3 linked regions of the Lonchura striata genome follow. The protein of the gene in region 3 interacts with the protein of the main gene of each other region in a pairwise test. Links are inferred from orthologs where the notes say so. Each region holds a gene or a part of one and is shown on either strand. Other genes may lie near its edges.

Region 1 (7,600 bases), on a different chromosome or scaffold from region 3:
TGGGGAAAGCAAATGGAAAGCTGAATAAGAAAGGAAGAAGGAAGCCAGAGAAAGGGCACTTGGTTTCTCTCAACCTCCTCCCACAGGAAGAGCCTGTAATGTCTTCAGTAAGCACTTTTCTAGGACTATTATCAGGAGAAAAATGAGCAGCCCAGGACAGCTGTGATTCCCCTTTTGAAACAGTCACCAATACCACATTTATAGTGGAGACAGCAGAAACAGCATCAGGCTACCTGGAGAGGCAGAATCCAAGGAGGCTGCAGAACCTGACAGCACACTTCCTTGTGTTTGTAGAAGAACAGGTGGAATAAAAAGAAGGGGGGGAAAGCCTATTTTGATTAGTGCAGCTCCCCCAGGGGACAGCAGAACTGCACAGAGACATAGCCCTGGAGCTCCCCGGGAGCTGGGGCACGCTGTGACCAGAGCCTGAGGCACGGCTGTGAAGGGCCTTGAAATGTGGCTGCAACTAAAGCACAGAAGCTGTTCCCAAAATCCTTCCATGCCCACCACCTCTCTGGAAAGTGCTGGGAAGAGCCAAACCCGCAGGAGCCTGAGGTCAGCCCCATGTCCTGCTCCCAGTCTGAGGTCTGTGGTGCACCTGAGCCAGATCCCCACAGGGAACTGCCCGGGTGCACCACAGCACAGGGTGACCCCACACTGCCCCATGTCCGTGGCTGCACAGCATCCACTGCCTGCACCAGCCTGTGCAGCCGTGCCTGCAGGGCCCACCAGGGCATGTGTGCCTCCTGTGGCACCCCGGGGAGCCTGAGCACAGCCTCAGAGCTGAGTATGTAGCAGGAGGTGACAGAAAACCCAGGTATTGGCTTCTACAGCAACACAAACTCACTGGGAAAGTAATTTCTTTTACCAGCAACTTTTCCTAGAACTTTTGCTGGTTTGCTAGAACCAGTATACATTTCTGATGGGCTCTTCCAAGACACACACATGAGTAATGTTAAAGGACAGCCCCTCCAGGTACCTGCCACACACCATCACAGCTGTGTCATCCACGGACAGGTTAGTGACAAACCCCCACGGCTGGGGCAGGGAAAGCTCACCAGGATCATCACAATCAGTTATTCCCAGCCCCCATTTGACACCAGCCCCTCCAAGACTAAGCTCTTACTTCTGCGGAGTCTTAATGACCAAATGAACAGTGAGCCCATCTTTGATCCCATGTTGATTCAACGTGTCTCCATCCTTCAGGATCTTCCCAGCAAAGATCAGAACCAGCTGATCCTGTTTGGCTTTAAACCGTCTAGAAATCTCTTCTTTGAACTGAAAAACAAACAGCATTTTTCAGGCAAAGGACTGGTACCAGTAACATAAATCCATTCTGGGAACAGCCCAAGGAACTGACAATCCTCACAGCCCATGAAGGTATCACACAGTCACCAGCTGCTGATGATGCCTGAAGTGCTAATGAAAACCAAACCAAAGACAAGTTCTGAAATTACAAACTATGGAGTAAATGTCAGAAAAAAACAGAGCCATTCCCTCAGAAGAGCTGAAGGCTTCCCAAGCCAGACCAATTGTGCTTCAGGCCTAACCCAAACACACCATTTATGCTGAACGACTGAACTGGTTTCATCTGTTCATTTGATTTTTTTTTCCTAAGGAAAGCCAAACTCCGATTTAATACAGGACAGTGCTCTATGGAAAAGGGAATAATCCTTTATCAGCCAATGGAAATAAACTAGGTCTTCTCCAATTCCTATTTCTGCAACTGAATTCCCTGTGAGCATGCCACGGAGCATAGACACCTATTCCTTACTGTGTGCTGTGCTGGGATTTACACCTGCAAGCAAGACTCTCACTGCTGGCCCTGCCGGGGCATCCCCAGATTGATTTGGAGGAAATAAAGCCTTGCACTTGGGAAACACAAACTAAAGGGAATTCAAAGGGGAAGGCCAGCATGGAGAGTGAAACACATGGTGGTTTCAGAGCTCTCAGCCTGGAGAGAGCTTCAGTTTACCCGAACTCTAAAATCAAGGCTGGGCACAGCTCAGCCCTGGCCCCAGATCACCCTGTCTGTGTCTCTCCCCACACAGCTCCGTGGCCCCCCTGCACAAAGCCCTCACTCCACACCTCCTGTCCGAGGGGCTCCCCCCAGGGAAAGGATCAGGAGGGCCACACGTGCATGCCCACGCCATGAACTGCTGCCCAGAGATCCCTGCCAGGCCCTTCACACGCTGACCTCGTGCCCTACGCCCGACCAAAGCACACAGCCAGCCCAACGCAGCGCCCATGACACCTTGTCCCAGTGGGCATCGCCACTTCCTCGATGCCAGGACCAGCCCTAGAGCGCGTCCCTGCCAATCCCAGCCTTCGCTAAGCGCAGCTCTTGGCAATCCCAGCCCTCTCCCGCTCCCTAGCAGGTGCAGAGCCCCCCCAGCCCACCCGTGGAAGGGCCGATGTTTCCTTCCCTCCACCTCATCCAAAGCTGGCCCCAAACATCTGCCCAGTTCCTCTCCCCTGGCCAGGGGCATCTGCCTCCAGAGAAATCCCGAGGTACGCCAGGACCCCCAGGTGTCCCCCTGGCAGCCCCCCGCGCACCCCTGCGGCTCTGCCCACAGTCCCACCACCTTCCCCACACCTCCGCTCAGGAAACTCTCCCACGCAGCCCGGCCCACGGGCCGAGCCCCCAGACCCCACCCCGGTCCTTCACACCCCTCCCACTGCCACCACCCCCAAAGCCGCCCTCCGAGCCCCCAACTCCTGTGTTTCCGACACCTACGACCCCTGCCACAGGTGAGCCCCCCCGACACCTGCCGCCCTCGGGGCTGTTTCCCCTCCAAAGGCCTCCAGCACCTGTCCTCCCTCCGATCTGAGGCCCAAAGGCCCGGGGTGCCGCGGAAAGCCCGGCTTGCCCCCGAGCCCAGCCCCAGCCCAGATCCGGGTCTCCAAGAGCCCCCCAGCCCCTCTGAGCGCCCCCCAGCCCCGAGCACCTTCCCCCGCTCCTCACGCGCGCCCCAAATTCCTGCCGGGCCCCAAAACTCGGCTCCCTTCCCAAAAGCCCTTCGCCGCACTCCTGGGTCCCCCAGCCCCCCAGAGCGGCCGCCCCCGCCCGTCAGCCCCCGCCCCGGCCCCCCGGGCCTCCCGGCCTGACCCGCCCCCACCTCGCGCACGGAGGCGCCGTCCGCGATGACGATCTCCTCCTTGTCCTTGGGGGTCTTCACGGTCACGCGGATGAGCGCCCCGCCGGGCCCTGGCTGGCCGTCCCCGCCCGGCCCGGGCCCGGGGCCGCCGCCGCCGCCGCCACTCGGCTCCGCCATCTTCGCCGCCCGCCGCCAGCCCGGGCCGCCGCCACCACAGAGAGCCGGGAGCGGCGCCGCAGCGCCGCCTCGGCCGGGACGGCGCCTCCCGGCGGCGCGGAGGAACGGCGGCAGCGCGGGCCGGGCGGCCGGAGCGGGGCGCGGGCTGAAAGCGGGGCTGAGCCTGCGGAGGGGGAGCTGCCCGCAGGGCCCCGCCGCTGCCCCCTTCCACCGGCTCCATCCCCGATCCCCACGGGCACCGAGGGCCACGCCCGCCCCGTGCTCCCTCCTGCTGCCGCGGCCCCTCTGGAGCCCCGGCGCCTACGGGGACACGGCAGGCCCGGGCGGGACTACAGCTCCCGGCGTGCCGCGCGCGGCGCGGCCCGTGACGGCCCCGCCCGGCGCGGCCCCACCCGCGGCCCGCGGTGCCGGCGGCGGCCATGCTGCGGCCCAAGGCCCTGACGCAGGTGCTGAGCCAGGCCAACACCGGCGGCGTCCAGAGCACGCTGTGAGTGCGGGGGGCCGGGCGGGGGGCGGCTCTCCCCGAGTGGGCCCGGCGGGCACCGGGGTGACGGCGCTGCGGGGACGTGCTTTCCCCGCCCGGAATGCTTCCCTCGTACCCAGCCCGGCAGGTGCTGCCGCTGTCCGTGCCCCCGGGGATGCTGCCCCTGCCCGGAGGTGCTGCCTGCCCCTGTCCCTGCAGCGGGGGATGCTCCCTGCTCCTGCCCTGGGAATGCTGCTCCAGCCCAAGGATGCTGCCTGCCTTTCCCCAGCCCCTGCTCTTATCCCTGCTCCTGCCCCTGCCCAGGGATGCTCCTTGCCTTTGCCCCTGCCTGGGGATGCTCCTTGCCCCTGCTCCTGCCTCTGCTCAGGGATGCTTCTTGCCTTTGCCCCTGCCTGAGGATGCTCCTTGCCCCAGCCCAGGGATGCTCCTTGCCCTTGTCCCTGCCCGGGGATGCTCCTTGCCTTTGCCCCTGCCTGGGGATGCTCCTTGCCCTTGCCCCTGCCTGGGGATGCTCCTTGCCCCTGCTCTTGTCCCTGCCCAGGGATGCTCCTTGCCCTTGCTGCTGCCTGAGGATGCTCCTTGCCCCTGCTCCTGCCTCTGCTCAGGGATGCTTCTTGCCTTTGCCCCTGCCTGAGGATGCTCCTTGCCCCTGCCCAGGGATGCTCCTTGCCCCTGCCCCTGCCCAGGGATGCTCCTTGCCTTTGCCCCTGCCTGGGGATGCTCCTTGCCCTTGTCCCTGCCCGGGGATGCTCCTTGCCTTTGCCCCTGCCTGGGGATGTTCCCTGTCCCTGCCTGGGGAAGGCAAAGGGGCCGAGCCCTTCCAGGGGCACACGTGGGATTGAAACCACACACCCTGCACGGTGCTGGGCTCCATATGGTGCTGGCACTGTGCACAGTGTGTGGGGCTGGGGCCTTGCACCGTTCCTGATGTCTGGTGCTGGGATGCCTCATGCACAGTGCAAGGGCTGGGGCTGTGCAGTGTTTGTCCTCCTCATGCCCAGCCTGTGGCAGGTCCTGCTGCTTCAACAGGCAGATACACCACAGCCCTGCACTGGCCTGCTCGGGCCTGGGGCCACTGCAGAGCTTTCTGGCTTTGAAGCCCCCCACTCCCTGCCAAACCCCTGCAGAGTGGGAGCATTGTGGGAGCAGTTCTTGGGACTGGGTGGGGGGGGTTTGCTCTACCCCTGGTATTGAGAGGGTCTGGTTTGCCCTACCGTGTCCTTCCCAGGCTGCTGAACAACGAGGGGTCCTTGCTTGCCTACTCGGGCTATGGGGACACTGATGCCAGGGTCACCGCAGCCATCGCCAGCAACATCTGGGTGGCCTACGACAAGAATGGGCACCAGGCGTTCAATGAGGACAACCTCAAATTCATCCTCATGGACTGCATGGTATGTGGGGCTGGAGCCTGCCTGCCCTCCCTGGGGACGTGGCTGTGGTGCCAGGATCGTGCTGGGGGTCCAGGCCAAGCTGGGGTGCCACAGGTGCTGTTTCTCCCTGGGCAGGAGGGGCGAGTGGCCATCACACGGGTGGCAAACCTGCTGCTCTGCATGTACGCCAAGGAGACGGTCGGATTTGGGATGCTGAAAGCCAAGGTAATGGCTGGGGTGTAGGCAGGGCTGCATCCCTGCTTGGTGTGGGAAAGAGCTGTTGAAGAGGATTGGGATGGAAGGGCTCAGGAAGCTGCTGTGTCTGGGACTCTCTTTGGACCTTGCAGAGACTCCTCTGTCCCCTGTGCCTGCCCAGGCACTCTATCACACCTTTTTAAGGTCCTAAACTGAAATACAAATTACAATAAGCAAGTGGGCAGTGGGCACACGTGTTGCAAAACCCACCTGAGCGTGGCTCATGCCATTCTCTGCTTGCAGGCACAGGCACTGGTGCAGTACCTGGAGGAGCCGCTCACGCAGGTGGCTGCATCGTGAGCAGGCAGTGGAGGGCTCTGAGGTGCCACGGGGCTCCAGCACCGTCACCGTCACCGCCGTGGGTTGGGCGTGAGTGGCCCCATGGGCATCCTGGAGCTCTGGTGGGGTCTTAAGAATGCAGTGGCAGGAATCCAGAAGCTGGCGGGAATAAAAGTGTGTTTGATGCTTGTGTCCATTGTGTCTGTTGTTGGGGGAGCTGAGGGGTAACACAACCGGACTGGGCTGGAGGTGCCTGGGCAGTGTTTGGGAGGTGCCATTGCCCTGGGGAAAAACAACAAGTTGCAAGGGGCTGTTGTCAAAGGAGAGGGGTTACGAGAGAGCCGAGCCCCTACCCAGCCCTGCTGTTACACTGGGATAGCTGGGGGTGCTGGGGGCTCCTTCCCATCCCTATTTCCCTGGCTTTCACACGATGGCAGCAGAGGCGAGGGAACATCGACAGCCGCGGGAGCCGGGCTGAGCGGGGGTTTGCTCCTGGCACGGCTGCCCTCGCTGCCGTCCCACCCCGCGGTGCCCTCGGTGCCCTGGCACCCTCCCTGCCCGCGCTGCCCATCCTGCTGGTGCTGCTCTCGCTGCCCCAGCCTGCCCCGCACTCCGATCAGCCCTGGCTCCTCCTCCGGCCGCCCCGTGACGGTCCCAGGGGTGCCGCTACCTGCCCAACCTGCGCTGCGACACCCGGTCCCACCCCTTGGGCGCCGCGCTGTCGCCTGCTCGGCCTCTCGCCGCTGTCCCGGACCCTCCGCTCCCCGGAGCCGCTCGGCCCCGCTCGCTCCCCGGCACAGAGGAGCCTCGGTGGCTCCGTCTCCTCCCTCGGCGCCCCGGGAGCCCGGCCCGCCCCGCGGGCTGCTCGGGCTCGGCAGCGGCACGGAGGAAACCCGGGGCCCTGCGAGGGCAGGCGGCGGCCGGGGCGACATGGGCAGCGCCGAGGAGGACTACAACTTCGTCTTCAAGGGTGAGTCCTGCGCTCCGTGCCAGCCCTCCCCTTCCCCAAAAGGAGTGGAGCAGAAATCCAGGGGCTGCGGGGAGGCAACGAGGGTGCCCGTTCCCCAGGGTGGCTGTGTCCTGAGCTGGCACGTTTTTGGTTGTCCCCGCAGCTGTGATGGGCACCGGGAGCTACGGAAGGTGAGGGGACTGGGGGCCAGGCACGGTCCGCTGACAGCAGTGAGGCCAGCCAGGGCTGGTGAGCAGCAGCAAGGTCCACAGAGACCCGGGGAGACCCTCACTCACCCCAAGGCTGAAGGCGTGCAGTGCCAGGCGAATTGCTGTTACGGGATAGTGGGGCTGTGAAAGCTGGGGCTGAGTGTGTGAGACAAATGCCACGACATCCTGTGACCCCCGAGAGCAGTGGGCATTGAAAAGTCACTTGCTGCGGTGACCTGGGCAGTGGCACAGCAGAGGACCTGGGGGTCAAAGCTGAGCTGGAGAAATGGGGGCGCAGCCTCACGCCTCCCATGCTGAGCTCCTTGGGCCCGCCTGGTCTTTGCCAGGTACTATTGGCTGGACTCTGCTGGAGCTCAGTGCTCCCTTTGGGCAAGTGGAGACAGACAGGCTCTGGTGTGCCACCTGTCCTGGGTGCCCACTGCAGCAGGGTGACCCAGGGCTCACCGACTTCCTTGCCCTGCTCCTGCTGCCCAGAGGCCGGTAGCCCTGAGCCCCCTGACCAGCTCTGGGGTTACACCAGCACTAGGGAGCACAGCTGGGCTGAAGGAGTGCCCACACCAGGGGTTAAACCCACACAGCTGCCCAGCCTCTGCAGCCAGTCTGGGGTCACCGGACAGCAGCGAGCGATGCCAATGCAACCAGTGCTGGTAGCTGGGGCAGTCCAGTGGGATTTCTCCTTCCTTCCACAGTTGTCCTGATCGGGGAGTCTGGGGTGGGAAAAACAAACCTGCTCTCTCGTTTTACCCGCAACGAGTTCA
Region 2 (8,194 bases), on a different chromosome or scaffold from region 3:
ATTGTTTGCCTCATTAATTAATTTTAAGAATTGAAAAGACATTTTTATTGAAATACACTGACTGACTGCTCCAATTAGCACTAGGAGCATCACAGCGTGAAGTAACATGGGTAAAACTTCAATCATATTCAGCAGTGGGTTTGCTTCAAAGAGCAGACAATTACAATCACAGTCAAATATGATTCAAGAGCAAAGGAGAAAGCAAGATGTAGCTGAAACAGCAATCAGTTCTTTACATACATTAATCAGGCAGTTTGCAATAACTTGATTATAATCTCAAACTGCCTCTGCTGGAAACCTGGAAATTTCTACCACCATGGGATACTGCCTATCGTGTTTATGCTCTTGTGGAGATTTTCTGACAGCTGCCACTGTCACAGCAAGACAGATAATGAATGGTGTTAGTGATAAGGAACCAAATCTAAAATTTTTGGTTTGCTTCATAGCAATGTTTTTTTAGGCTCAGAACTTGCAAAGTCACTCAAACAATAGGGAGGATTAGATGAGTGCATCGCTTGGAAACAACTTTCAAACCTTTAGTGTGTGATTGTCTTCACATACACTGCTTCAAATACTATGTTGAAAGGTCCAAGTTCTTTCATGCCTGGGGGGTCTGCTTTGACAGGTGTCTCAAAATAAAGAACAGGACATTCAGTGTGTGATCTCAAATCAGGTGGTTCCTTATCTATGCAGAAGTCTTTCTCTGCCTTTGTTTACTCCAGTTAGGGTTTCAGCCATACCTTACCTCTCAAGATCAGATCTACCAAGCTGTTGACCAAAAGTAGTAGCCAGTACTTGGTACATTTCTAAATACATCTTGGTACCTTCTGGCAAGTGGACAAGGACAGTAAAAGGGCATTCTTCAAATTATACCCCAAATCTGAACAATTCCCAGCAACACAATTCCCAGTTTACAGGAGATCCTCAGGACAGATGGGGAAAAAAGGGAAAATTCTGCTTTGTGATGAAATTTTTCTGATACTCTTTCAAGCTGTTCTACTGCAAGTACATGGTGTTCTCTGCAGAGCTTAGAGGTCTACAGCAGCCCTGGCCTACTGCCCCCATCTGACTGGATGAGAAAAGCACTGAGAACCACCCAGGGCACTGCTGGGACCACACGTTCTCAACACATGGAAATGTCAAACTGACACAGATCTGGGAAAGTGGCAAACTGAACTTGAGGATCAATCTGAAAGACAAAAAAACTTCAGTATATCTGCTGCAGGGGAGAGACTGCTGGAATAATGTCTTCCTCCTAGGGCAAGAAAAGAAGCTCATGAGCATCTGGGCCAAACCTGTAAGTCCCTTCCAACCTCAACCATTCTGTTATTCTGAGTAGATCTTGCAAAGGCTTTGGAAAGAAGTAAACTACAGAAGATGTTTCCTGCAGCCCTGTTCTAAGGCAATCACAAAAGGAGGAGCCAACTATGTTCAAGCAAGAGGATCTGCCATACTACACTGCATCTTGTCATCTGCCATACTACTACAATGCATCTTGTCAGCTATGTTTTGGGCAGTCCTGAAAAAGAAAGAAATATTAGAGGATAGAGGAGGACAGATAATTCTGTATGTGTAAAGAAGTTTGGTGTGTAGTGGTCAAACTTTCATGACCTGCACACAAATCTGCACATGCAGCAGTTTTAAAGGAATTGAGCCTGTGCATTTATCTTGGGCCCTTGGGGAGGACTCATTGTTTGCTCTAAGAAAATAATCTCATTATATAGAGAAACAGTGCTGTTTTTTACCTCTCGGTGTGCTAAAAGCAGGAATTCTGCATGTCCTAGCTGTAGAAAGACTTTGGTATGAGTTTTAAGATAAGTTTGAAGAGTACATTACAAAGTAGTGTATAAAGTAATGTATAAAGTCACGTGTTGCATTACTTACCCCCAGCAAGCTCCTCCAGACTTGGGACATGAAAAGCAAACCTTTCGACTTTGGCCATTTCCTGATCAGTGCTGATTTCTTCAGGTAAGAAGTTACAGTACAGCACACTGCAGAGTAAGTGGTCTGCCAGCAAAGATAATAGTTTAACAATTTAAACATGCTCCTTTCAACATGTTAATTATTTTTCAATTTCACTCTAGAATACATAGAAAAAATAGAACTGTAGTTCTACCATCATAGGAGACACTGACATCTTCAATAGCACCATTAAATTTCGTATGCATTTTGGAAGAAGATGTGTCTGTCAGCCCTATAGCTGGCTCAGAGCATTACACACACTAGTCCTCAAGCTGACAACTGGGTGTAAAGAAAACATATCCTACGCTGAATGCAGTTCAAGTGGTCAGGAGATTTGGGAGTCTTTTTGTAAGGCTGGAGTCACAAGAAAGTTTTGAAAGAAACCTGAGCTTTCCTGAGCACATCAACTGCCTCCTAAGGTCTTCCTGAATTTAATGTTTACTTTTCCAGCACTGGATGGTGGACTTTCAACCGCAGCTGTGACATGGTCTCCAATTGATTCTGGGCATGTGTTTCCCCTTCCAGAGAGGAACAGGCTAGCAGCAAAATAGAAATCAACAGCAGCAAATTCTGCAGTATCAGACTCTGTAGCCATACAAAAAGTGTCTTAAAAACCCAGTGTGTACTATAACAAAAAGTTTTGAACATGACTTTAAGAGCCCCTTCAGAAATGAACTGCACTGCAGTCAGCCATGCAACAGCAAAGCCAGCTAGAAGGGCAAGCCACTAGGTCAGGGCAAAAACAACTGATTGTACACTACCTAAAAATCTGCTGCAGCAATCATTAACTCCTTAGGCACATACCACATACTTGCTATACACAGCAATAAAAAATAAAATGGGTCCTATTTACCCAGATCTCAGGTGGAAGAAGGAAAAAGCCAAAATCCTAACTACATTCCTAGACCTGAGTCTTTGTTAGGAATGACTATTGTATAAGACAGCTGCTTACATATATATTTAGCTTCTGTTTTTAAAAAATCCTAACTTTTATGACTATCAAAAAATGTAACTGTCCTTACACCATTAGCATAAAGGGAAAAAAAACCACCAAACCAGTGGAAAAAAGAAGATGAGTAGGGAGATCGTAGCAGTCACTTAACTGAAATCTTTAAGCCCAATGCTCAGCCACTCCAAGTTACTGCATAGCAAGCAGTAGAGAAGGGAAGAATGACTGCAACCTGTGTATAGTAATTCTCATCTTAGTTGGTCCTATCTATCTCCACAGTTGACTTCATCCCTCCTCTGGCTCTGGAAAGTAGCAGGCTGGATTTGGTGCCTCTGGTAGAAGCCTCATGTCAGGCGGAGTGAATCATACCACAAGACTTTTAGTGTGCACCAAGAAAGGGAGTAATGTAAGAACATGGCTTTGGGAGCATTGTTTTAGACAATCCTCACCACCTCAAGAACCTTTTGCCACATCCAGGAGGAGGCTGTGCCAATGCTCAACACATTGGTTGTCCTAAAACAGCCTGAGAAGGCAAGCTATAATTGCTGCTGTACAAAAGGCAGGGACAAGACTTGTACAATACCAGTATAAGTTAGCTCCCCACAATCAAGAAAGGAGGGAAACACTGTGGAAAAATTTGATGTAGCATAATAAACCCAATCTGATTGGCAGGCAGTTGTTCTTACCAGGAAAGACACAAAAGGGTAGATCTGTAGCCCACCACTGCAAATATTCACAGGGGAGTGAATTGTGTAGTGTGGGGACAGAGAGAACCCGAAACAACAGCATGCAATTAAGATCCGTCACAGAGGGTTGCAGTGACACTGAATCGCTACAGAAGACTTTCAAAGGAAGAACACAAATGCTAAAGGGATGATAAAATTGTTATAGATGTGGGATGGTGCAACTAGAATGGAGGCAACAAGTATGCAAAGACTTAAAAGTCTACCTTTGAAGTGGGAAGAAAACATTACAGAGAGTAGCCAGGTGCCAGGAGAATACAGATGAAATGTGAACCATTAGATTGATTATATATGTGGATAGTCTATTGTCAAAACCTGAACTGAAATTAGCTTGGAGACTTAAAGCCAAAAAGGAGAGATTACAGGCAGGTAGACACGAATCGGGGAGGGAGGTGGTGGGGGAAGAAATATCAGTGGAAAAAAATGAAGACGGCAGTTGTGAGAGAGAAATGTAGCGATGACACCAAGACATCCATAGGGGCAGAAGCGGTATTTCTCTCCTGGGGCGGTGCGAGGAGATCCCGTACGGGGCAGGGGAAGGCTGCGCGGCAGCAGAAGCTGTTCGAATGGCTGGGATCTGGGGAATCACGGCAGGTATTTACAGGTGTGCTAGGCGAGGCTGGGGTCCGTAGGGACTGGGAGCACCCCAGCAGGCAAAGACAGCGAAGAGTCCTGGAGCGAGGGAGCGCTAAAGCCGGCATAGCTGCGAGGGGGAGGAAGGGGCTGCTGAGGCTGGAGCAGCCAGCTCGGAGGAGCCTGGGCAGCGCGGGGAAGGACGAGCAGCGCAGCAGGAACCGGAGCCTCTCGCCGGGCGGGAAGCCTAGGGAACCCGGCAGCTGCCCGAGCTCTGCCGCGCACCGACCGCCGCTATCGCCCGTCCGCACGTACCTGCCCTGCCGCCGGGACTGGCACAGCAAGGCAAGACAGGACTTGATTCGATACGGCTCGGCTCGGCTCGGCTCGGCTCGGCTCCGCCCCCGGGCGCGGCCGCCCCGCGGCCACTGCCGGCATGGCGCCATCCTCCGCCCCGCCTCCTTCCCGCGCGCCTCTCGCGAGCTCCCGGCGCTACTTAAGGCGCGGGCGGCCATTGTTCTCTCTTTGCGGCGGGGCGGCGGCGGGCCAGGTGGGTGCCGCGGCCGGGCGGATCCGCCGCCATCCGCGCCGCGGGGGCCGGCACCGAGGGAGCCGGGAATGGAGGGACAGCCCGGGCGCTGTGGAGTCGTGCCCCGGGGGCTGGGGCGTGTGGCGGCGGTGGGTGAGGGGCCCCGCGGGAGCGCTGCCGGCGGGGTGTCCCCGGCCCGTGTGATCGGTGCGTGCCGGCGTTTGAAAAGCCGAGCCTGGCGAGCGGCGTGCTTGGCGCCTTTGGCAGGTTCTTCAGCCAGTTTAGGTGGTTGTTTTCTTCCCTAAGGGATCTGCGTGGCCGGAGCTGTGGTAGAGGCCTGGAAGGATACTGAGCTGCGCCTTGTGAGTACTAGGCAGGGCCTGCGCGGTCAGAGGGCGTTGTCCTGCTTCTGGCCTTGGCTGGTTTTGTTTCTGGGCTTTGTGTTTGCCAGGCCGAGGGTGAGCCAGTGTGAGCAGTGTGCCTGCAAAGGCATCGTGAACCTAGCGTGCGAGTGCCTTCTCCTGTCTTGAGGGGCCCGAAATGAAACACAGGATTTGGAGGTGTGGCCTCATCAGTGCTGAGTATAGCGGGACAATCCCTGCCTTGGGCATGCTGGCCACACCAGTGCTGATCCAGGCCAGGATGCCACTGGCCTTGGCCACCTGGGCACAGCCTGGATCATACTGAGCTCCTGTTGGCTAGCACCCCCAGGGTCTTTGCTGCTGTAACCCAAGTGGAGGATCTGGCACTTTGCCTTGTTGGACCTCAACTCAGTTGGCATCAGTCCAGCCTGTGCAGACACCTCTGCAGAGCTTTCCTGCCCTCCAGCAGATCAGTATTCCCACCGAGCTTGGTGTCATTTGCAAACTGAATGAGGGTGCACTTAATCCCCTTTTTGAGGTCATCGGTGGAAATTAAACTGGTCTGGCCCCAGCACTGATCCTTGGGGAACATCACTTACGACCAGCTTCCAGCTGGATGTAACCCCCTTCAGCACTACTCTGGGGGCCCGGCCATCCATCCAGCTTTTCATGCAATGAACAGTGCACCCATCCAAGGCACGAGCAGCTAGTTCCTCCAGGAGAATGCTATGAGAAATGGTGTCCAAAGTTTTACTAAAGTGCAGGCAGACAGACAACAACCACGGTGTTTCCTTATACACTGGTCATAGAAGATCATCAGGTGGGTCAGTTGGGATCTGCCTTTTGTAAATTCAAGCTGACTGGGCCTAATCCTTTGGTTGATGTACCCTCAGGATCATTTGCTGCAGGTTATGTGAGGACATTGGATGAGCTCTGCTCTAGTGTCTTCAGATGCTGAACTGTGTAATTGCATTTGAAATATTAATGGGTATGATGATGAGTTTGTGAAGCTCTTAAAAAGCACAGTAAAATTAAAAAGATGCAGGTCTACAGGGCTAGTAAATAACTGGTAAAATAACTAAGCACATACAGAGGAAAACTTTGCTGTATGTTATAGTCCCTTTTGTATAGACTTGGGGCACTGAAGAGCTAGACTGTGTTGTCTTGAATATTCAAGTGAAAATTAACATTTTAGTTCTGGAGCTGGTCTCTATGATGATTGAGAACCAGTGAGCAAATAGATAAATAGATTTCTGAGAGCAGGAGATTTTAGGTATCCTGCAGCTCACAAAAGAACAGAAGGAAAATGGCATTGCTTCTTATGGTGACACAGTCTTGGATTAAAGTTTTTAAACCACAGTGAACTAAATATTTATGTATAACTTAAAACTGCATTATCCTTACAAGTATGAGAATCCATTGGCTATTTGTATGTGTGCTTGTTTGGAGGAAAACTTAACCCTAGTAGGGAGAGGGTTAAAATATTCAGAATTAATCTCAGTGAGTCTCTGGTGTCCAATCTGTTGGACCACTGATGCTTGCCTTCCTGTGGTCAAGAGCTGAACTAAAAGGACTCTAAAATTTTTTCTGTCCTCAGTTATGATATGAGTGTCTTGAATAAGTGGGTGTGAGTTAAATGTTAGTATGCAGAATATAACTGGTTATGGTTCATAGGAAAGCACCCGCTCCAGATTGTTCTTGTAAGTTTATCCTGTGACTGTGAGTGGAGTAAAGTCTGTTGCCTGATTAATGTAAGTTTTTTTTAGTTTCTTCAATTCTCATTTCCTTTTGGGGCAAAGTGAAACATGACTGATACAGATGAACCCCAGGCATCTGGCTCTGATTACTCTGATGTGCAAGAGCTGATCAGCCATCAGCCGCAGGAGCCATCTGTGATGTACTCATGGCAAAGGAATACAGGAACAGAGCGGTCAAGGCAGAAGGTGGCTGCACCTGGGGAGTCTTCAGATCATCCTAACAGCATGTGTGAAGCATCAGCAGCTTCAGCTGAGGTTTTACTGATCAGCAGTGATTCAGAAATGTGAGTTTTTATCTCTAGTTCAGAATTTTTCCCATGGAGAACCTGTGTGATGTGTCATAAAACTGTACCTTCTTTTGAAAGTAAATACTTTCTTCTTCTTCAGTGATGTCTCTGCTGCTCGTCCTGAGTGCTCCATTGCTTCAAAGCAGAAAAGGAGATCTCAATCTTCAAGGCAACAAGATGAGTCTGTTACAGAGGTAGCTGACAATGAAAGCTCCTCAGATTCTTCATGGTCTCCCCAAAGTCCAGGGAATTCATTAGACGTTTCCAAGCAGCAGAAGTCAAAACTCAATTTGAAGGCCATTTTTGCCTATCACTTCAGGGGAAGGAAGTTCAAAGCAGCCGCACACCGAAAATACAAAATTTACGCACGGAAGAACAAGAAGAAAAAAAAGTATGAGGGCACACAGATGCCCACAGGGAGGCCCCCACTGACAGCCTCACCTCAGGAACAAAAGAGGAGGCTTCTAGACAGAGGTTTTCAATTTCCTTTTGTTGAAAAACATTATGGGGAGAAACATATTCCCTTAAAGATGGTTCTTGGCTATGAGGTAAGCCCTCTGTTTTGTGGGATAAACATTTTATTAGTCTAAAAATTGTGAATTGAAATGGGCTCTGTGGTGTTTCTACTAAAATAAGACAAACAGTTTTTACTTCAGTTAAACAGGATATTTGATGCTGTAAAATTAATACCTTTTAAAGCAAATACTGCAAGAATATATGTGGATGTTGATAGAATGTTAGAGTTACATTACATGTAAATGCTTTGTAGTGGATTTTTAAGATCTTAACCGAGTTTTTTTTTCTACAGCAAGCAGCTGCAAAGGGCTATTTCAAGTACATTGAAGTGCTTAAATATGAAGAACATCTTAAAAAAGCTTTAAAAACCCTTCAGGCCAGTGATGACTTGGAAAAAGAGTGTATGGTGTTACGGAAACACAAATACTTAGATGATGAAGGCCCCATTTCCCCTATTCAGGAGACAGAGTAAGTTCATCTTTACTTGCCCTTTTGTGCTTTACTATAATATAAACC
Region 3 (7,844 bases):
ATATGTAGACAGAAGATTGGGGGCACCATGGAAACTCAGCGACATAAGAGTGGTATTGATTGGATAGAAAATGAGGCTGCAATTTAAGCTTAAGGCTGCCAGAGATGCCAAGAATGGAGAATGACCTCCAGCAGTGAATTTTCAGCATAAGCTCCCTGTGAACAAGCCAGTCCAAGAAGGATAAATCAGGGACAAGCTCACCAGGGATATGGCTCAAGCGAGCGTCGCTACCCTGAGCAGATGAGAATCCCTCTATGTGTGCACGTGTTACAGTGACCTAGTTCATTCAAAAACAGCATTTTGTATGGTTTATTATGGAGCCCTGGAACAAAGAGATTTCCTCAATTAAAGTCCTGAAATGCATCCTCTAAATGAAAATGCTTTTGATACACTGACCAGCAAGAGGTTGTAAATATCGAAGCAAAGCATACATTGTTAAAGACCAATTCCCACAGAAAATGCCACAGTTGGGAATGCAGGTAATGAGGGGGCCTGAACAGAGCAGAAGCAATGAGCCATGCCAGCTCCATCCCTAATGCCCTAGTCTTACACTAAAACACTTGTTATACCATAACACTAGATAAATTGTATTTTCCTTGACAAAAAAAAAAAAAAAAAAAAAAAAAAAAAAAAAAACAAAAAAAACACCACCCAACACACACAGGAAAAAAAATAGTATGAGTTAAATGAATGCATTTTCAGAGCTCCTGTAAAGAATTATTTTTAATTGTTATCTAAGGAGTCAGGAACAACCATTCCCAGAATCATCAAGAAGAAATAGAGGACATTTCAAGAAAGTACCTTGCCGAAGCCACTGCTGGAAGTTCACTAAGTAATAATATTCACATTTGTGGCAGAAAGATTAATCTACACAAAACATCCATCAGTACAGCTGTGTCAGGAATAAGATAACCCTCCAAAGTGTCCCCAGTGTCAAGCATATGGTACTGGGATAGCAGCACTATGTTTTGTAATCCTATAGTGAGACAAACCTTCTGCTGGCAAGGATACATCATCCACAGACTGCATCTCAAATAACTGGGGATTGACATCTGGATAACTGCAAAAAACCTGTTTTTCTTAGACCATTTCTACACTATAAACGAATATTTACCATTTGTAAAAGAAAGGTTTGTTGCTGGCTTCTCTTTTTCCCCACCCAAGAGCTGACTCGGGAGTAAAGTCTGTGAGTTTCTGTCCTTCAGTTTCACCCAAACCTTCATACATGAAAAATCACTGAAGAGTTTAGCTCAGCCTGGAGACAAGAGTTTATTAAATCTCCACATTCCTTCTCTTTAGCAAAAGTAGCTAAATTATGCAGCAGGAATTGGTTTTGCTGCTTTTTGGGGTCAGTTATGGGAATTTGGGGTTTTTTTTTACTTCAATGAAGTACCTTCTCCATGCACTTCCAAATTTTCTTTCCTACAGCAAAGCAACAAATTTTGTCACAAATACACCAGTTCCTTTTTCACTTTAAACTATTTCTCGTTATAAAAGTTCAGAATTATTTTTTTTTTTAATTCTTATTCTTTTTCAGGGAGGAAATTGAAATGAACAAAACAAAACAAACACACATAAACATTAAATTTGTTTCATAATCGGCTCAAGAACACTGCTCAGGACACACCAAGTATTTCTTTGTGACAACTTTTACTTTCCTTCTCTTTTTCTCTCCATCCCTTCCCTTTTTCTCCCTAATACAGTCAGTTACACACATCATGTAGTTCTTGTTCAAAAAGTTGAGCTTTGCTAAAAGCTAAAAAAAATCAGTGCCCAGAGGGAAAACAAGGAAAGGACATCAACTCAAGAGCTGATGACCCACAGGTAAAATGTTCCTCTACCATAACACAAGTCATTGCAAGCAAATGGGATCTGGCTAGAACACCACTATCCATAGCTCTAGGGTTATGTCACAGAGAAAGATTTAACTCCTGTCACAAACATTTCCACAGTGCTCCCAAGAACCCGCCAGTCTCTCAGGTGTACATCCTAATAGCCAGCTCCCGAGGGTACCACTAAGTTAAAGTGCAGTAGTCATTCACCACCAAGGCAAAGCCACTGGCAGCGTGGAAGAGAGGTGCGACAGCCAAGCGGAAGATGTAAAAGGAGCAGATAAGCTCCCGCAGAATGAAGATTACCTTCCTCCTATGAAAAGTTGTACTTTTAAAAAGAAGAGAAGAAAGGCAGGTAAGGAGTTAGAAGCACCGAGGCTGGAGACCATGAAACATTTGCAGAATCGCAGACAAGTTCTACAAAGAGGAAACTGTGTTTTCACCGTTGTTAACTCAGGTTTTTCCCCCAGCCTATCCGTCCCGAGGAAGGGGAAGACACGAACTAACAACGGCAGTTTTAGACAGATCTATCAGCACTTGCTAGATTTAGTTGTTTCAGCAGGAGTAAATTAGGGATAAGAAGGCAAAGTCCCAAGAAAAATATAAGCCCAAGTGTTCGGTCTGAAGGTACAATTTAAACTCCCGAGTTCCAGCCGGGACGCTCCTGGCACAGGGTAACTGGGACCCGCAGGGGGTTTGCCGCTCCGCTGTCCCTTTGTCCTCTCGAAACGGAACTGCCCGAACACTCCTGCCTCCCTTCCCCGCTGGATCCCGTCACCCACGGCCGCCGCTGTCCCTCTCACCCCGTGCTGGCACTTGAACGCTCCCAGGCACCGAAGCACCGCGGCAGCGCTCCCCACCCGGCAAAGCGGTCCCGTGTCTGCTCCCGGGCACTCCCAGACCTCACCCACCACCTCGGCCAGGTGTCTCCGGGGGCTCAGGTGTCCCCCTCAGGTGCACCCCTGCTCCCACCCAGCCCCACGGCCCCTCTGGCCGGCCAGCCTCTGCGGCATCCTGCTGGGGCAAGTGTCCCGGAGCCGCGGCAGGGACGAGGGAAGCGCTGCCCACCCTGCCCCGGGGGAACAAGCGCTGGAGGTACCATCCCTCGGGCAGACCCGGGAGTCCCCGCCGCTGCCTCGGACTTACTTGGGGCGGCAAAGAGCTCCTCTCCCGCAGCTGAAAGGGGCGAGCCGCGACCGTCCCCGGTGAGCAGCGACTGCCTGTGCCGCCGCGCGTCCCTGCGCTCCTCACGCCCGGCTCTGCTCTCTCTCCCGCCGGAGCTTTCCGGCCGAGATTTTTATACTGCAGGCAGGGAACCTGATCCGCGCTTTGACTCGGCGGAGCCCGGGCTGCGGCGAGGCGGCGAGAGGAGGGAAGGCAGGCGGGCGCCGGGGCAGAGCGAGCGGCCGCGCTGCCCCCTCGTGTGATGCGGGCGGGTCAGCCGCGGGGCAGCCGCGCCCCCGCCGCGGGCTGGGCTGGGCTGTGCCGGGCTGGGCTGGGCTGTGCCGGGCTGGGCTGGGCTGTGCCGGGCTGGGCTGGGCTGAGCTGTGCCGGGCTGGGCTGGGCCGGGCCGGGCTGGGCTGGGTTGGGCCGAGCCGAGCCGGGCTGGGCTCGCTCCGCTCCTCCGCAGCTCCCGCGGGAGGAGCGCGCCGCGGAGAGCCCGGTGGGGAGCTGCTGCAGTGCGGAGCGCCCCAGGATCCCGACCGGGCTTGTTAGCTCAGGTAACTTTCTCTCCTCTTCATCACCCAGGGACAGGGAGAGGCAGCTCGCCCTACAGCCCGACCGGTGCGGGGCTTCAGCTGCTTTTGCAGGTACAAACGTCCACCGCAGTTTTTGCCCCGGTTGCCTTTGGCTGTCAGAGTTTGAGGAGCTCTAACTTCGGCCTCGCTGACTTCCAGCTTGCCATTTTGACCACGGGAGTGATAGGCTGGAAATAGTGCTAGAGAGTGGGAAGCAAGAAAATAAATAAATAAATAAATAAATAAATAAATAAATAAATAAAAACCCACAGTGGACCACTTCTTCCCCCCCCCCCCAGTCCCCCACCCCCAGCTTTTAATTTCAATTTTAATTTCAACTTGGCCTAAAAGCACAGTGAGAACAACTTTTGCCATGCCATTTCAACACTTTTGGTCATAGCGGTTGCTGCAGTTGTATCAGGGCTTTCATTTAGTAGCAGGCTTTTCCAACTTTCAGGTTCATTACATCCACTGAATAAGAGTGTTCCCCAATCCACAGCTTAATTTAAAACTACGTGGACTTGTTCCAAACTCCAGGCAGTTTCTGTGTAATTCCCTCTCCCCAGAGCAAGTCTCTGCCTTCACTTGAAAGACTGGGCCCATTCACTGCTTAGGTCTCACCTGGGTTTGTAGCTTGCAGCTCCTGCTCCAGGTTTGCACAGAAATCCAGTTCAGATTCCCCTCCTGTTTCCAGAGGAATGAGCTAAAAAAGTAATTTGTCTGGCACCGAACACATTGCATCATCTAACACCTACCATCTGTGACAATGAAAAGCACTGTACAGCCAGTCCCAGAGCAGGCAATTGCACTCACCTGGAGTCCTTCTTAGTAAAGTAAACTAACCCTTTCCATCCACACCTTGACATCTTCTTTTCATCACACAGTTATGTGTTCAGTCCTGGCACGGCTGTGCAGGATTTGCACCACCAGCAGGTTTAATGACAGTGATGTAATTTAAAACAACAATTTTGGTTTGCAGTGTAAAGTGATGGCTTGAGGTGGAAAGAATATCCTTTCTAGCAGCTGGATGAGTGGAAAGGAGAATTCAATGGCATTTGTGTTTCAGAGCATGCAAGGCTGAATGAATGCTTGCTAGCCAGCTCGCACCTTCCTGAGGTCTTCTCAGTGAAATCCTGGCAGCACGGAGCTAAGCACAACAAGCACCTAGAGAAAAACTTTCCATCAAGAAGCACCTGGTAGTGGTTGACACTTTGCAGACCCAAGAAATTCTCCATACAACCACTATAGCACATTTCAGATGATCAATCCTTCCTGAGTAACTAAGTAGGAAAGAGAAAAATGGCTCTAAGTTCACCTTGATGGAAACCAAAACGGATTGCATCAGAATGGGCCAAGAGGTTTCTTACTTTCCTCACAGAAATCTGAGTCTTAGCCAAAACACTGCAAGCATAGCATTTTGATAAAACAGTGGAAACTTTGCAGAAAGCAACTGCTTTTCACAAAGATGTGCATGATGTTAGAAGCCTCCTTTAACCTCTAAATTTGGAAGCAATATCAAGACCACATTTGCTCCCAGATTTTCTCCATACCAGATTTTCTCCATACCTAGTTTTTCATGGCTCAGATGTTATTTTCCTGAAACTGAGTTTACATGCACAAAAAATAGTTTTGTGTAATAGTTTTGTGTGTTATTTGACTCAGAATCTCCAAAATAAAACTGCTAACAAGGTTAGCAGAGCTTCTCAGGGACAGATAATTGTTCGAAGCCCCTATGACTGAAAAACAGAGTTTCTCAGTTTTTGATTGCCAAAAAGGTAAATGTTTTTTAATGTTCGTATTATTTGTTTCAATGGCACCTTGAGGCTTGACTGAGGTTTCCATTGCAATAAGCACTGTACACATACAGGAAAAATATTCTTTGCCCCAAATTGCTCACTGTGTTGTATATGTTTGATATTAATGAGGCATAACACTTGAATTTCTTGACTGAACTTTTACCATTGAGCTAGAACCTGTTAAGACAGAGAGGACAATGAGACAGTGAATACAGTAGTCTTGAGAGGACAAATGTAACTTTTTTTGCCAAGAGAAAGGTCACAAACTATGTTATTCACACCATCAAAGGTGCCTGTAGCACTGGTTCCCAGTGGGAAACAGCAGTATAGCATGGAGAACATTGAGATGGATGGATGATGAGCTATGAACAGTTCAGAGGGATGTTTTCCTTAATAAAAGGATATTAAGGTTGGAGGAGCTTATCTCCAGATCTTCTCTGCTGTTTTGTCTCTCCTGAGTTTTTTTCTCAGACAATGATGTAATTGCTGCATGATCTCTGGAACTGCAGACCAGTCAACATTTCTTGTGACTGATAGGAAAATCCCTACTGAAAAAAATACTTTTCAACTATTGCTTTTCTACTCTGAACACAAAGGTAACCAAGAAAAGAGACTTTGCTCACAGATTGTCAGGGATACTTATCTTTAAAATCCTTTACATTTGTTTACAGTTGTTGGTTCCACTCTGATCAAAAAGCAGTGGTGAGGAATGGATTGGCAGCTGTAGAAGTCCAGTTTCTGTTTTCACGTATCCTCTTCACTACCTGGAGCAAAAATGCACAACCTAATGAGTGAGGCAAATCTGAAATATCTCTTAAAAAGGAAAGCTGAAGTTTCGGGCCAAAACGGGCTGTAAAAGGACCTTTGATTGATGCCACATGCAAATGTTCTCATAAACAATCCAAAATGTTAGATCCTAATTAGACTCTCAATTCAATCAGTAAAAAATTATGACAATTTTGGGGGAAGAAGCTCCTAATTTTAGGAATAGTTTTTGCCAAAATGCAGAAAGTACATCATAATAAGTTCCCTTGAATTAGGTGGGTTTTCTTCCTTTGAAAAAAACATAAACACCAACTTTTCTCTTTGAAGCTGGGGGTTTTTGTTACTCTTAGGTAATCAATTCACAACCCACCTGAAGGAAATATTTAGAACTTCTAACAGTAGTTTTCACTTTTTTCCAAAGATGGCCTTAAAAATTCTGACTCTAAAGTTCAGAGAGCAGCTCAGAGGACAAGGCTTTATGCAGTTTTCTCTCAAGAAGAGCTTCCCTGGTTTTGGTCCCACTGCTGAGTAGGTTAGAAGGTCAGCTGGAGCTGAGCTTGCCTTGTTTGTTTCAACTCCACTGTAAATATTAATTTCTTTCCGTGCCCTTCCCAGCCATCAGCAACAGCAGCACCAGGAAAACGTAACATGATTCCAGGAAAGCAGAGAGGAGAACTCCACGACAGTTTAAAGGTTTTTTCACCTTTTGCTCCATTGTTGTTCCTGAACTATTGAGCTGCCAAGCCCTGGCAACTGAGTGCCCTGCATCCCGACTGCCGCGCTCAGATCAGATTTCCATTAGTGATACTGAATTATTTAGTGAATGCATTGAGGATTGAAATCAACTACTTCTGAGCTGTGTACCCTCTCACTCTATCTTTCATTTCAAGCCCTCACACTATCATCACAGAGACTATCAATCTTATAATTGGAGTAGAAAAATCCATGGAGTTCAGAAATAATAATTCATACCTTACTCCCTAATATTAAAATAATCCAGAGTATAAAAAGTCAGATTTCCCAGAGGCATGTGGAAGGCAACAGCAAAAGCATGAACCCAGGAGAGTTATTCTTTCATGCACATATGCTAAAAACTTAAGATATTTGAAAACAAAGCCAGAGGCCCAGAACTTGATCTTAAGCTTCAGTCACCAAACCATGAATACATGTCGTAACGTTACACATTTGACTGACTCCATTTTCTACAAGGGGATTAAAGCTCTTCTGCTCAAAATTATTCATGTGCATACATCTGCATGCTGCAGTTTGAAATCCACAAATATAATGCGACACAGCAGGCCTTTCCAGATCCCCAGCATTTAAAAGGCTGCTCTTCATATGTTGGCTTCTCTCACTACTTTCTTCTTTTGTTTGTACTGGCATTCCTGGGAGTGGAAGTTCTACATATCCAGGATTTGAAGTCTACTGCATTAAAAATAAAATACCTTAGCTATAATGAAAAAAAAATTGCTTTGTGTATATGACCACTTTTTTTTTTTTTTTTTTACATAAACAAACATGTTTATTTCATTCTAGTTTTGAAATTTAGGGAGAAGTTTAAACCAAAAGAAAAGGACATTTTATTATGAAGGGCCGAGCAACAGCTACCACATCAGTTCTGTGTTCTGGGGGTTTGTCACTATGCATTGTAAAATCAAAGCAAAATGTAGAAACAACATGTTTTTCCTATGAAAACGAACCAATAAAATTGA

The links.
Region 1: the proteins of PTN (region 3) and UBQLN4 interact in a two-hybrid assay, tested with the Homo sapiens proteins (2 studies listed by BioGRID and IntAct). The link is inferred for Lonchura striata from reciprocal best matches to the Homo sapiens genes PTN and UBQLN4.
Region 2: the proteins of PTN (region 3) and TAF1D interact in a two-hybrid assay, tested with the Homo sapiens proteins (2 studies listed by BioGRID and IntAct). The link is inferred for Lonchura striata from reciprocal best matches to the Homo sapiens genes PTN and TAF1D.

The regions. Positions count from the first base shown.
Region 1 is NC_134635.1:1,245,474-1,253,073, reverse strand, and holds the start of UBQLN4 (ubiquilin-4), read right to left. Parts: upstream 3,277-7,600; 5' UTR 3,276-3,276; coding exon 3,120-3,275; intron 1,279-3,119; coding exon 1,127-1,278; intron 1-1,126. Other genes in the region: ragulator complex protein LAMTOR2, read left to right, coding at 3,695-3,762, 4,988-5,150, 5,265-5,354, 5,628-5,684; RAB25 (ras-related protein Rab-25), read left to right, coding at 6,594-6,633, 7,532-7,600. UniProt on the Homo sapiens protein: Regulator of protein degradation that mediates the proteasomal targeting of misfolded, mislocalized or accumulated proteins.
Region 2 is NC_134604.1:39,302,896-39,311,089, reverse strand, and holds the start of TAF1D (TATA box-binding protein-associated factor RNA polymerase I subunit D), read left to right. Parts: upstream 1-4,712; 5' UTR 4,713-4,778; intron 4,779-5,062; exon of another isoform or gene 5,063-5,119; intron 5,120-6,911; 5' UTR 6,912-6,923; coding exon 6,924-7,159; intron 7,160-7,262; coding exon 7,263-7,710; intron 7,711-7,970; coding exon 7,971-8,146; intron 8,147-8,194. Other genes in the region: BKGD (ester hydrolase C11orf54 homolog), read right to left, coding at 1,885-1,942. UniProt on the Homo sapiens protein: Component of the transcription factor SL1/TIF-IB complex, which is involved in the assembly of the PIC (preinitiation complex) during RNA polymerase I-dependent transcription.
Region 3 is NC_134607.1:16,259,769-16,267,612, reverse strand, and holds the start of PTN (pleiotrophin), read right to left. Parts: upstream 3,264-7,844; 5' UTR 2,979-3,263; intron 1-2,978.